Drosophila melanogaster: one gene and its partner. The protein of the gene in region 1 interacts with the protein of each later gene in a biochemical or structural test. Each region holds a gene or a part of one and is shown in the gene's direction. Other genes may lie near its edges.

Region 1 (4,782 bases):
AATCATTAACAACATTTACAATGTTTGCAGGCTGTCAACGTTGATGGCCAGTTGCGATGGTTCCAGTCAATAGATCCACCGCCGGGAGCTCCAACAAAATTGGAGCTGCCCATAAAGAGCACTTCAATTTCTGTCCAGCAGCAAATGGACGAATTAGACGATGAGTTGGCCATGTCCCTTGCCGAAGAAGATCAGCAGGATGAGTTTCTTGTGCCAATGCTGAGCGGAGAGGAACCAGTTAAAATAAAACAATCATCGCTGACCGATCTGGCTTGGAGTTGGAGTACGCCGGATGTAAGAAAGAACTATAAACGAAAAAAACGAACTTTTCCTAACAATGTTTTTATCACTAAAGGCTGTACATCACATAAGTCCCAAAGCGGAACTCAAGAAGGACCTTAAAGCTGGCGATGCAGATACAGATTTTCCAGATTGGTGGGATGATGGCAAGTACACAAAGATGCAAAAGAACCAAACATTTGCAAAGCACTCAAAGAAGCCGTCGCAGGAGAATGTGCAACGCATCCTGCGCATCATCTATGACATTTACTACAAACCCTTCAAGGAAGATCGCAAGCAGTTCGAGGCATTTCAAATTAAGGACTCCTGGCTGTGCGCGACTCGAATGACTCGCATGCAGATAATCAAGGACATGTACTCTAAACAGGGCACGTTAAGTCAAACTTGATGATAAAAAATGTATCATCCCTTTGGTATTTGTATAAGAATACCATTAAGTTGTTTACTATTTAAAGTGTAAAGTAAACGAATTAAGAAAATCCCAAGTACTTTAAAACTAGTTAATTAACCTTTAATTTAAGCCCAAAAACAAGTATAGGAGTAGTTTAAAAAAGAAAGAATACTATAGTCGAGATCCCCGACTATCATATAACCGTTACTCAGCTAGTGTGAATGCGAACGCGAAATTTAATCCTCTGGGATATTAATAAATATTGTATAATGTGAAAAAATTTAAAAAAAATTCAAACGTGTGGGCGTGACCGGTTTGGCGGCTTTAGGGCGTTGGAATGGGCGTGGCAAAAAGTTTTTTGGCAAATCGATAGAAATTTAAGCGACTAATAAAATTATGAAAAATATCCAACAATTTTTTTTTTAAATATGGGCGTGTCAGTTTTGTGCGGTTTGTGGGCGTCGCAACATGGGTTCCGCTGCGTCTTTATCTCTAGAATATGTATGCTAAATCTCAACCTTCTAGCTTTTAAAGTTTCTGATATCTCGTCGTTCATACGGACAGACGGACATGACTAGATCGACTCGGCTATTGATTCTGATCAAGAATATATACTTATATATAAATATATACACTTTATATAGTCGGAAACGCTTTCTTCTGCATGTTACATACTTTTCAACGAATCTAGTATACCCTTTTACTCTACGAGTAACGAGTATATTTTAGGAATTGTGTTATTCAATAAATTGTGTGTTGAAAATGTCTACACTACGATCGATTATTGAAGAAAAAATAAATTCAATGAAAATTAAAAACAATTAGTCAATAATTATATATTATTTTAAATATGACTATTTATAGTACCGGATAATAATCATATTTAAAAAAGTGTATTTAATATTAACAGCTAAATACTGTAATGATTTTAAGCTAAATACAAATAAAATCAGCTAAATACTGAAATCACAAATTTATGTGCCTTGTGATTTTCGACGATCGATACTTGGGATCCGAAACGGATAACCATCGATATCAGCGATTTACTGGAGAAATCGATAGCTTGCACTGTGCATCCAGTTTTGCTCCAGCCCTATCGCAAACTAAAGTATATTTTAGCAGCGTTTGCGGAATTTTTTGCATTTCAGTTACTCCAAGTGTGAATAAGAGCACGGTCGCTGTTATAGTGTCTTGCAAAGCAGTGAATTAAAAAAGTTTAATAATCCAAATCGAGAATCCCAAATTTGTGTAGACGTAGCAACAACAGTAAAACGCGCTGGCCGGAAAAGACGCTGCTGGTGAGTTGGAATAGTGGTGCATAAATTAGGAATGTATATATGCTGATTCGTGGGGCATTACCCTTTGTTTATTTAATGACTTGCTTGCTGCACCCCGCTCCCCCTTCCTTAACCTTTTGTTTAACTTTTTGGCGCAATATTATTCACCTTGACCACGCACCGGTGTGCAAAAGATTCACCGCACACCGGTGCACTTAAATTCACCACAGCCTTAATAATTCTTACGGCATTTCCGTGCTCAATGGTGAATGGTCGCACTGAAACTATTCTTTGAAAATAACGGAGTAAACATTCAGTCTCAGATTCTGAGAACTTGTTGACAGTGTAGCTGTTCAATTGTTTTCATGGCGAGTTCTCGGAGTATTTTTTGTTAGGTGAGTTTTAGGTTATGTCTGATGTCAGAAAATTAACAAATAAATTTCGCCTAAGACAACGCACGATCATGGCATGGGTTCCCAATTCGCAGTTCGAGGATGATCTGGTCGACATGGAGCCGGATTTCAATTTTGTCCATGGTCAACTGGCCTACGACATGAAGAAGCAAGGGGAGTTTTGGCCGCGACCGAAATGCACATATGAATATCTGAAGTCCCGGGAAAAGAGGAATTCCGAGCTCGAAAATATCCATGGAAGCAGAGGCGGAACTGGTCGTGATATTCGGCAAAGCCTTCAGCTAATGGAGAACATACAGAAGATAGCAGGCACAAGGCCGCTGGGCGAGCACGCCACTATGAAAGATTGGGAGGATGAAAGCACAAATGAGCTAGAGGCGTTAGCCATGATGCGTCACTTCGGAATGATGTCCATGGCAACAGATTCGCTGCCCGTTCTGCCCGAAGTAAAACCACCAGAAGGACCCATTAAAATTATAAGAAACGGACGGAAACAATTTCCCCTCATCACAGACCCCGAATTTTTTAAACCACGCAAGATTCCCCGAACGAAGAATTCCAGTTCCAGTAGTTCGTATCATACTGCCAATAGTTCAATCAGTTCCTTCAGCCTTTATGAATCTGCCGCTTCAGATTTGGACAGCAGCAAGAAGCAGGGCGAGATCAAGGCGTCAAAGTCGGAGAAATACCTCGAAGTACCTTACAAACAGCTTGCGGAGAGTTACGACCAGGAAGTGGAATCACCAGTCCAATTTGGAAACCAATTCAATGAATGAAGGAGGAACCAACGGGGAATGCAATTATTAGAACCAAAAAATCAATCACTTTTTATATATAAGCTTCTGTAACATGTAAATAAACGGCTTAAACGTCGTTTAGAAAACCGAATTTATATTGGATGCAGTTCTACAAATAGAAAGAAAAATACTTGATATCATAGGGTAAACAAAATATTTATCTATTTTAATAAATTAAATGCGAAAGGAATGTTAGTGCTGTAGAATTCAATATATCCTTAAATGAATTTTTTTATATTAATTTATTGTTGCAAATGCATGTTTCCCAAACCATTTGGTAATTATTCAATTGTATCCCCTCCTAAATATGAAAAAATTGGAATATAGTCGGAAATATAATCGAGGTATTAAAATTTATGTTTATCGATTAAATCGATCGCGCTTATCAACGCACTATATTATAGCTAGAACATCGTATTTATAGAAAATAATTTTATGGCGTGTTTAATAACACACGCCAGACGTCTCTTTCAATAGCTACTTTGCGGCATATTGGGCACATATCGGCATGCTGCAAGTGGGTCCGGATGCACATCTCCCCAAAAAGGTGACCACATCTAAGCGAAACCAAGCGGTGATGATCCTTCGCTTCCCAAGGATCCAGGCATATGCAGCAAGTATTTTCGATGGCAATCTTCTCAAGCTGCTGTGTTAATTCGTCCTTGGACTCGAACAACAACTGCTCTTGCAATAATTTCTGATTGGTTATCTCTTCTTCCATTTGGTAATATAGCTTGAGTTCCTCCTCGCGCATTTTATCCTTCTCTTGAGTTGTAATATTTAGCTTCGCCAGTTGCTTGTCCTTTTGCTCACTTTTTTTCCTTTCCGCTAAGAGCTGCTCAACAACATCCTTCTTCAGCATCCTCATCAACGAGCGAGTCTGGGCTTTGTTATTGGGCATATTGTAAAGAAATTAAAATTACAAGGTGAACGAATTTTTTAGACAAGCACTTTTAGAACGAATGTCTTCTCAGTGAAGGTTTAAGCGTGGACTGCCTAGATTGAACAAAATTATTTTTTCTTGTAATCATTAGAATTAGTTGTGTGTTGCATTTTCCAACACAGCCAACATATTTACAGCTGTCAAAAAAAAAATCCATTTCAAAATAAAACTCGACTGTAATATTTGCGAATCGTTCACATCGAAAACGAGATGGATAAACAAGATATTACAAAGATGACCAAGAAAAAACTCATCGTTGAGGTCATTAAGCAGCGAAAACGGAACAAAGAAAAGGACGAAATCATCAAGGATAGTTTCGAGTCCAAAAAGCGTTTAATTGATCTGCGACTGCAACTGGACAAGGAGAAGAACATAACGAAGGAGTTGCGACTGAGGCTAGCGGCGCAGGACGCGATTGCGAATCAAGCGGAGAACCTGTCTATGAAACGAAAGAAGATCGCCGAAGAGAACAAGTGCTACATTTGCAAATGGAATTATGAGGTTACCGGAGACCATCGCCCAGTTTCAATTAAATGCGGTCACCTTTTTGGAGCGAATTGCATACTACATTACTTGCAGCGTAACAAGACATGCCCCATCTGCAAATCACAGATGATCCGCTGTATGGATGTTCGCATTATTATAGCAGGTCAAAATTTGT
Region 2 (5,867 bases), on another chromosome or scaffold:
AATTGTCATCAGGTTTTACGAAAGTGAGCTTACAAATATATCGCAAGAGTCACTGTCCTCCTCTTCGCTGCCCTCGTTGAACTTCTTGGAAACCTGAATGTTTCCTAAATGGAGTATTCCTGCCAGGATCTTTACGATATCAGCGATCTGTTGAATGGAGAAGCCCAGAACTGTCATGGCCTGCACGGTTTCGTTAAACTGCTCCGCATCCGAAACTCGTTCAATTTCAGGAGCGCCACCCATGTTCAGAAACTGGAATTTGTCCTGGTGATCTTTGAGAGAATGGAAATATTACTTCATTTTCTAAGCTGAAATAGGAGGGAGCTTCCAGACATACCCAGCACCAGTTCAGGGTACTTCGATCGCGCCGCGCACAGCTGATAGAATATGTGATAGTTGCGCTCTCCCTGGGCCTGGTACACCACACGTGACTTCTCCAGTAGGTAGGTGTGCATAGTGGCTCCCTGCAGGAACATCACACCCATCTGGTTCCGGAACAGCAGCTTGGTAAACTTTCCAAAGCGGGAACTGTTGTCATTCCGGGTCGTCTTGGCATTTCCGAAGGCTTCCATGATCGGCGAAGATGCCAGCACCTTGCGTTCGACCTGGGTCTCCGACTCGGAACCTCCAACAGCGGCAAAGTACCTCATGGCGTATTTGGCGGACACCGTCTTGCCCGCACCCGACTCCCCACTGACGATGATGCTCAGGTTGCAGTTCTCGCGCTCCAGTTTCGTGTACGCCTCCTCCGCCAGGGCAAAGATGTGCGGCTCCAGATCACCCATAGCATGACCCCGATACGCTCGGATTATGCTGGGCCCGTAAAGAGGCATCTCCGCGTACGGGTTGATGGCCACCAGAATGATGCCGCAGTAGGTGTAGATAATCTGGCGCTCGCAGAAGCGGACACGCAGATTGTGCAACACCCCCGGCTCATGCAGGTAGGACAGGGTGGTCAAGTCGTTCTGTCCCACCAGAATGGCCGGATTGCGCAGTGGAGGCAGATCGCTGCCATCGGCCTTTAGCTTGACCTCTTTCAGTTTTCCGGAGTCCGTACATATCTTCAAGAAGCCGGCGCCCTTGCGGTAGCTCTCCTCCAAGGTGGCGCTCTCCCACACCAGATCCGCATGGGGCACCCAGATCTTGGCGCCCTGCGAAAGAAGTGAGCCGAATTAACAAGTTTTATGAATGGGAGTTATGCCCGATCCCCTCTAGAGACGTCACCCGACCTGGTGTCTTATCAATCGAGCTTATCACACAACCCATTCCCCTGTCGATAAGACACCCGCGAATATTGTATGTAGATGAATCATTTTTAAACATTTCGGGTGCTGCGATGCAGTCATCAATGGCTAATCACCTGCCATGGGAACAAATCAGGGCCAAGAACTGTCGAATGGCCTGCACACACACACACACACACACACACACTTCGGACGGGGGAAATCACGTTATGGGTGCGATTTTATATTGGCACCATTTGCAGACGACACCGACACCGCCGCAATCTGCCACGATGCACTTGTAGGGCATCAATATATACTGTGCAATACCTGCGCGTATAGCATCTCCTCGCTAGACATGGTTCCACTGGCTCCTCCTCCTACTCCAGGTTCCGCTTCGCGCTCCTTCTTTCTCTCCTCTCCTTCTTCCTACTCCGCGTGGGAGTGAGTTGGGTGCATAAATCCCGTTAGGTTTAATTTCCTTGGTGGTACGTTTTTTTTCTGGCTCTGACAGCCTATTTAAATTACCATTTTCGTGGTCTTTTTTTGGGTTTATGTAAATGTACTGTCCTAAATTACTTAAAATTAGCCAGGAATAATTTATAAAAACATTGATAATTTTTAGATCGCAACGCCAAAGTGTGAGAAAAACAAACAAACTTCCGTCCCTGTCACCGCCTGACTGACTGACTTATGTTTTGTTGTTGGCAAAAGGGCAGGGTTGCCAAAGGGCGTGCAGTTTGGGCCAAATTAGAAATGTGTGGTTCTAACCATGGATTAAATTTGAACAAAGTAAAATATCTTGCAAAAAGATTTGTATAATGCCACAGTAACTGAATTTTTTCTTGCAAAACACCCCAGAAAGCACCAATTATTTGGCGCGCAATGCTCTGCAGTTAGATTTTCAGCACTGCTCAACTCACCCATTGGTATTCTTCAACACTGCAACAGTTATTTTCCCGCCAATTTTTAGCTGGTCTGTCCCACCGCATCGTTTTTTGTTTCACAACAGCTACAGTTTTCGCCCAGGACGCACGGGTTAAATAAATATCTTCTCTAAGGAAATGTCAAGCCCCGCTCGTTCGCCCAGTGTTGGAGGTGCGACGCCCAAACAAGGCGCCCGCACACCCACTAGAGGTGAGTATCGACGTGCCACAAAAAGTGTGTTCTGTTTGCAAAGCAAGCGTCTGTCTGCTTACAGGCATTGCGTCGCAAGATGTGGAGACACCCATGCGCATGGGTCCCGGGAGGGCTGTCCGGCCCTCGGACAACATCAGTTTGCCGCCCACCTCGCCGGGAAACATCAGCTTGCCAGCCACCAGTCCGGCTCGAGGATTGGGTGCGAACATGAGCGAGATCGATCTGAGTTCGCCGCTGAACTACGGCACCCCCAGCTCGATGGGGTCCATTCGAACCCCTCGTTCCGGAATTAGAGGCACTCCGCTGCGGGCGCGGCCCGATATAAGAACGGACAAGCGCATCCGCCAGGTGGCCATCGGTGGGGGCTCTGGGGTAAGTGTACGCTGGCAACTCATTTTGGGACTTTCAAATTAGTTTAGTCGCTTTTACAGCTCGAACCAATTCCTGAGAAGGGCTCTGAAACCACCGATCCTGTATCGGAATCTTCGCAAGCACCTCAGCTCGTCGTCTGGGGAACCAATGTTGTTGTCAGCCAGTGCAAATCCAAGTTCAAGTCGTTTATTATGCGCTTTATTGACCCCAGTGCCGAGCAGGACGAAATCTCCGAGAATATTGATGTTAACCAGCCACTGTATCTTCAGAAGCTGGAGGAGATTCACACATTGGAGGAGCCCTATCTGAATCTCAACTGTGCCCATCTCAAGACCTTTGATCAGGACTTGTACCGCCAGTTGATCTGCTATCCGCAGGAGGTTATTCCTGGCTTTGATATGGCCATAAACGAGATGTTCTTTGAGCGTTATCCTGCCGCTCTTCTGGAACACCAGATTCAAGTGCGCCCCTTCAACGCGGACAAGACACGCAACATGCGATCCCTAAATCCCGAGGATATGGACCAGTTGATCAGCATTAGTGGCATGGTCATTCGCTCGTCGAACGTCATTCCCGAGATGCGCGAAGCCTTTTTCAGTTGCAACATCTGTTCCTTCAGCACAACCGTCGAGGTGGACCGCGGTCGCATTAACCAGCCCACGCTCTGCACCAACTGCAACACGAACCACTGCTTCCGTTTAATCCACAATCGATCGGAGTTTACGGATAAGCAGCTTGTCAAACTTCAGGAGTCTCCAGATGACATGGCGGCGGGACAGACTCCGCATAATGTGCTTTTGTATGCTCACAACGATCTGGTGGACAAGGTGCAGCCTGGTGATCGCGTCACGGTCACAGGCATCTATCGGGCGACGCCACTGAAGACTGGAGGCCTCAGTTCGTCGGTAAAAAGTGTGTATAAGACGCACGTGGATGTGGTTCACTTCCGGAAGGTGGACAACAAGCGACTGTACGAGGATGAGGAGGGGTAAGTCTTGCATTTTATTACTGGTTAGAATAAAATTTGATAATTTTAATTACCTACCAGTAAGGATCACATCTTCCCGCCAGAACGCGTTGAGCTGCTACAATTGCTGGCCAAGAAACCGGACATCTACGACCGCTTGGCCAGGGCCATTGCCCCATCTATTTACGAGAACGACGACATCAAGAAAGGCATCTTGCTGCAGCTCTTTGGTGGCACCAAGAAGAAGCATGCAACTCTCGGCCGCCAGAATTTCAGATCGGAAATTCACCTGCTGTTATGCGGTGATCCGGGTACTTCCAAGTCCCAGATGCTGCAGTACGTCTTCAACCTCGTGCCAAGATCACAGTACACCTCCGGTCGCGGTTCTTCGGCCGTCGGTTTGACTGCCTATGTGACCAAAGATCCGGAGACTCGCCAGCTGGTTCTGCAAACGTAAATCTAAAAGCTTGAATCAGATTCGAATTTAGGTTGTAATCTTATGGCTTGTTTTCAGAGGTGCACTGGTTTTGGCCGATAATGGAGTTTGCTGCATTGACGAGTTTGACAAGATGAACGACTCGACACGCAGTGTGCTGCACGAGGTGATGGAGCAGCAGACACTGAGTATTGCCAAGGCGGGAATCATCTGTCAGCTAAACGCGAGGACCTCGATTCTTGCTGCCGCCAATCCCGCCGAGTCTCAGTGGAATAAGCGCAAGAACATCATTGATAACGTCCAGCTTCCGCACACCCTGTTGTCCCGCTTCGACCTAATCTTTCTGGTCCTGGATCCCCAGGATGAGATCTTTGACAAGCGACTGGCCAGCCATTTGGTATCTTTGTACTATGTGACGCGTCATGAGGAGGAGGATACCATGTTTGTAAGTAGCTTGGATCAATTGTTGGTATTTCTCCGGAATATCTCTGTAACATATTCAATCAATTTTCAGGACATGAGCGTCCTGCGCGACTACATCGCCTATGCCCGCGAACATCTGTCGCCTACGTTGTCGGATGAAGCGCAACAACGACTCATTCAGGCCTACGTGGACATGCGAAAGGTGGGCGCCGGTCGTGGCCAGATCTCTGCTTACCCGCGCCAGCTGGAGAGTCTCATCCGACTGTCGGAGGCGCACGCCAAGGTGCGTCTCAGCAACCAGGTGGAATTGCTGGACGTGGAGGAGGCTTGGCGGCTTCATCGCGAGGCTCTCAAGCAGTCGGCCACGGATCCCCTGTCCGGCAAAATTGACGTGGGCATTCTCACCACCGGCTTATCAACAGCCGCTCGCAAAAAGCGCGCCGATCTGGTGGCAGCCATCAAGGAAAACCTCAAGAAGAAGGGCAAAGTTCTCACAGTTCCCTATCAGAAACTGTTTAGCGATATTAAGGAAGGATCCCAAATTGTAAGTGCTAATATAATATATTTATAATATAAAATCAATGTAAACGATAATTTATTGCAGATGATCACACGCGAGCAATTTGAAGATGCCCTGAAGGAGGTGCAAGATGAGGGCGCAATTGTTGTCATGGGAAAGAACACCATTCGTATTTGTTAATTTTATTACATTTATCTCATTCAAAACCAACCGCAAATTCATTCATTCCTATTTTTAAGCGCAACTACAAAAATGTTTTCAATAAAAAAATTTCAAATTATTCGTTTCTGTTTTATCAACTAATATGTAAAGAAAAATTGCACATAATTAAATTATTTGGAAAGTTTATATATTGCGGTAGAAAAATAATTGATTGATATTTGAATATAATTTTTTTATTTTTCGAGCAGCTTATAATGTAAAATATATGGACATGTCAACGTGGAAAATGTTGTCAAGCTTGCTAAAATATTGATAAAGTGATTTATACATAAGAAGAGCACATATCACTTAAATTTGAAAAGGCAGAAAAACTGAATCTTAAAATTCGTGTAATTAAGCATTACTTTGGAAAGCCAAACAAAAACAAATTTCGAATATATAGGAGTACCCCAACTAAAAAAGGAATATCCCAGTTAGTGCCGTTTTTTAGCGCATTTGCGCAGGCGAAGTGCAGATATTTTGGCGCTCTGGCTGCTGCCACACTGTGTGTACGGAAAATGATGGAGTTCGGGAAATCGTCGGATCACTCCCAGCACAGCGCTTCCGAGGCGTCGGCGGACTCCG

The links.
Region 2: of the proteins of grp (region 1) and dpa, one has a biochemical effect on the other in vitro, tested with the Drosophila melanogaster proteins (one study listed by BioGRID).

Annotation. Positions count from the first base shown.
Region 1 is NT_033779.5:16,678,288-16,683,069, forward strand, and holds the start of grp (grapes), read left to right. Parts: upstream 1-1,766; 5' UTR 1,767-1,989; intron 1,990-2,162; exon of another isoform or gene 2,163-2,363; intron 2,364-2,418; exon of another isoform or gene 2,419-2,431; coding exon of another isoform or gene 2,432-3,157; exon of another isoform or gene 3,158-3,366; intron 3,367-3,531; exon of another isoform or gene 3,532-3,611; coding exon of another isoform or gene 3,612-4,079; exon of another isoform or gene 4,080-4,115; intron 4,116-4,215; exon of another isoform or gene 4,216-4,331; coding exon of another isoform or gene 4,332-4,782. Other genes in the region: her (hermaphrodite), read left to right, coding at 31-294, 356-688; squ (squash), read left to right, coding at 2,432-3,157; CG31807 (uncharacterized protein), read right to left, coding at 3,612-4,079; CG33552 (uncharacterized protein), read left to right, coding at 4,332-4,782. UniProt on the Drosophila melanogaster protein: Serine/threonine-protein kinase which is required for checkpoint-mediated cell cycle arrest and activation of DNA repair in response to the presence of DNA damage or unreplicated DNA.
Region 2 is NT_033778.4:7,496,195-7,502,061, reverse strand, and holds dpa (disc proliferation abnormal), read left to right. Parts: upstream 1-1,916; 5' UTR 1,917-2,287; coding exon 2,288-2,360; intron 2,361-2,424; coding exon 2,425-2,735; intron 2,736-2,794; coding exon 2,795-3,723; intron 3,724-3,783; coding exon 3,784-4,155; intron 4,156-4,216; coding exon 4,217-4,583; intron 4,584-4,652; coding exon 4,653-5,105; intron 5,106-5,165; coding exon 5,166-5,261; 3' UTR 5,262-5,360; downstream 5,361-5,867. Other genes in the region: didum (dilute class unconventional myosin), read right to left, coding at 34-272, 338-1,151, 1,554-1,583; CG1620 (uncharacterized protein), read left to right, coding at 5,801-5,867. UniProt on the Drosophila melanogaster protein: Acts as a component of the Mcm2-7 complex (Mcm complex) which is the putative replicative helicase essential for 'once per cell cycle' DNA replication initiation and elongation in eukaryotic cells.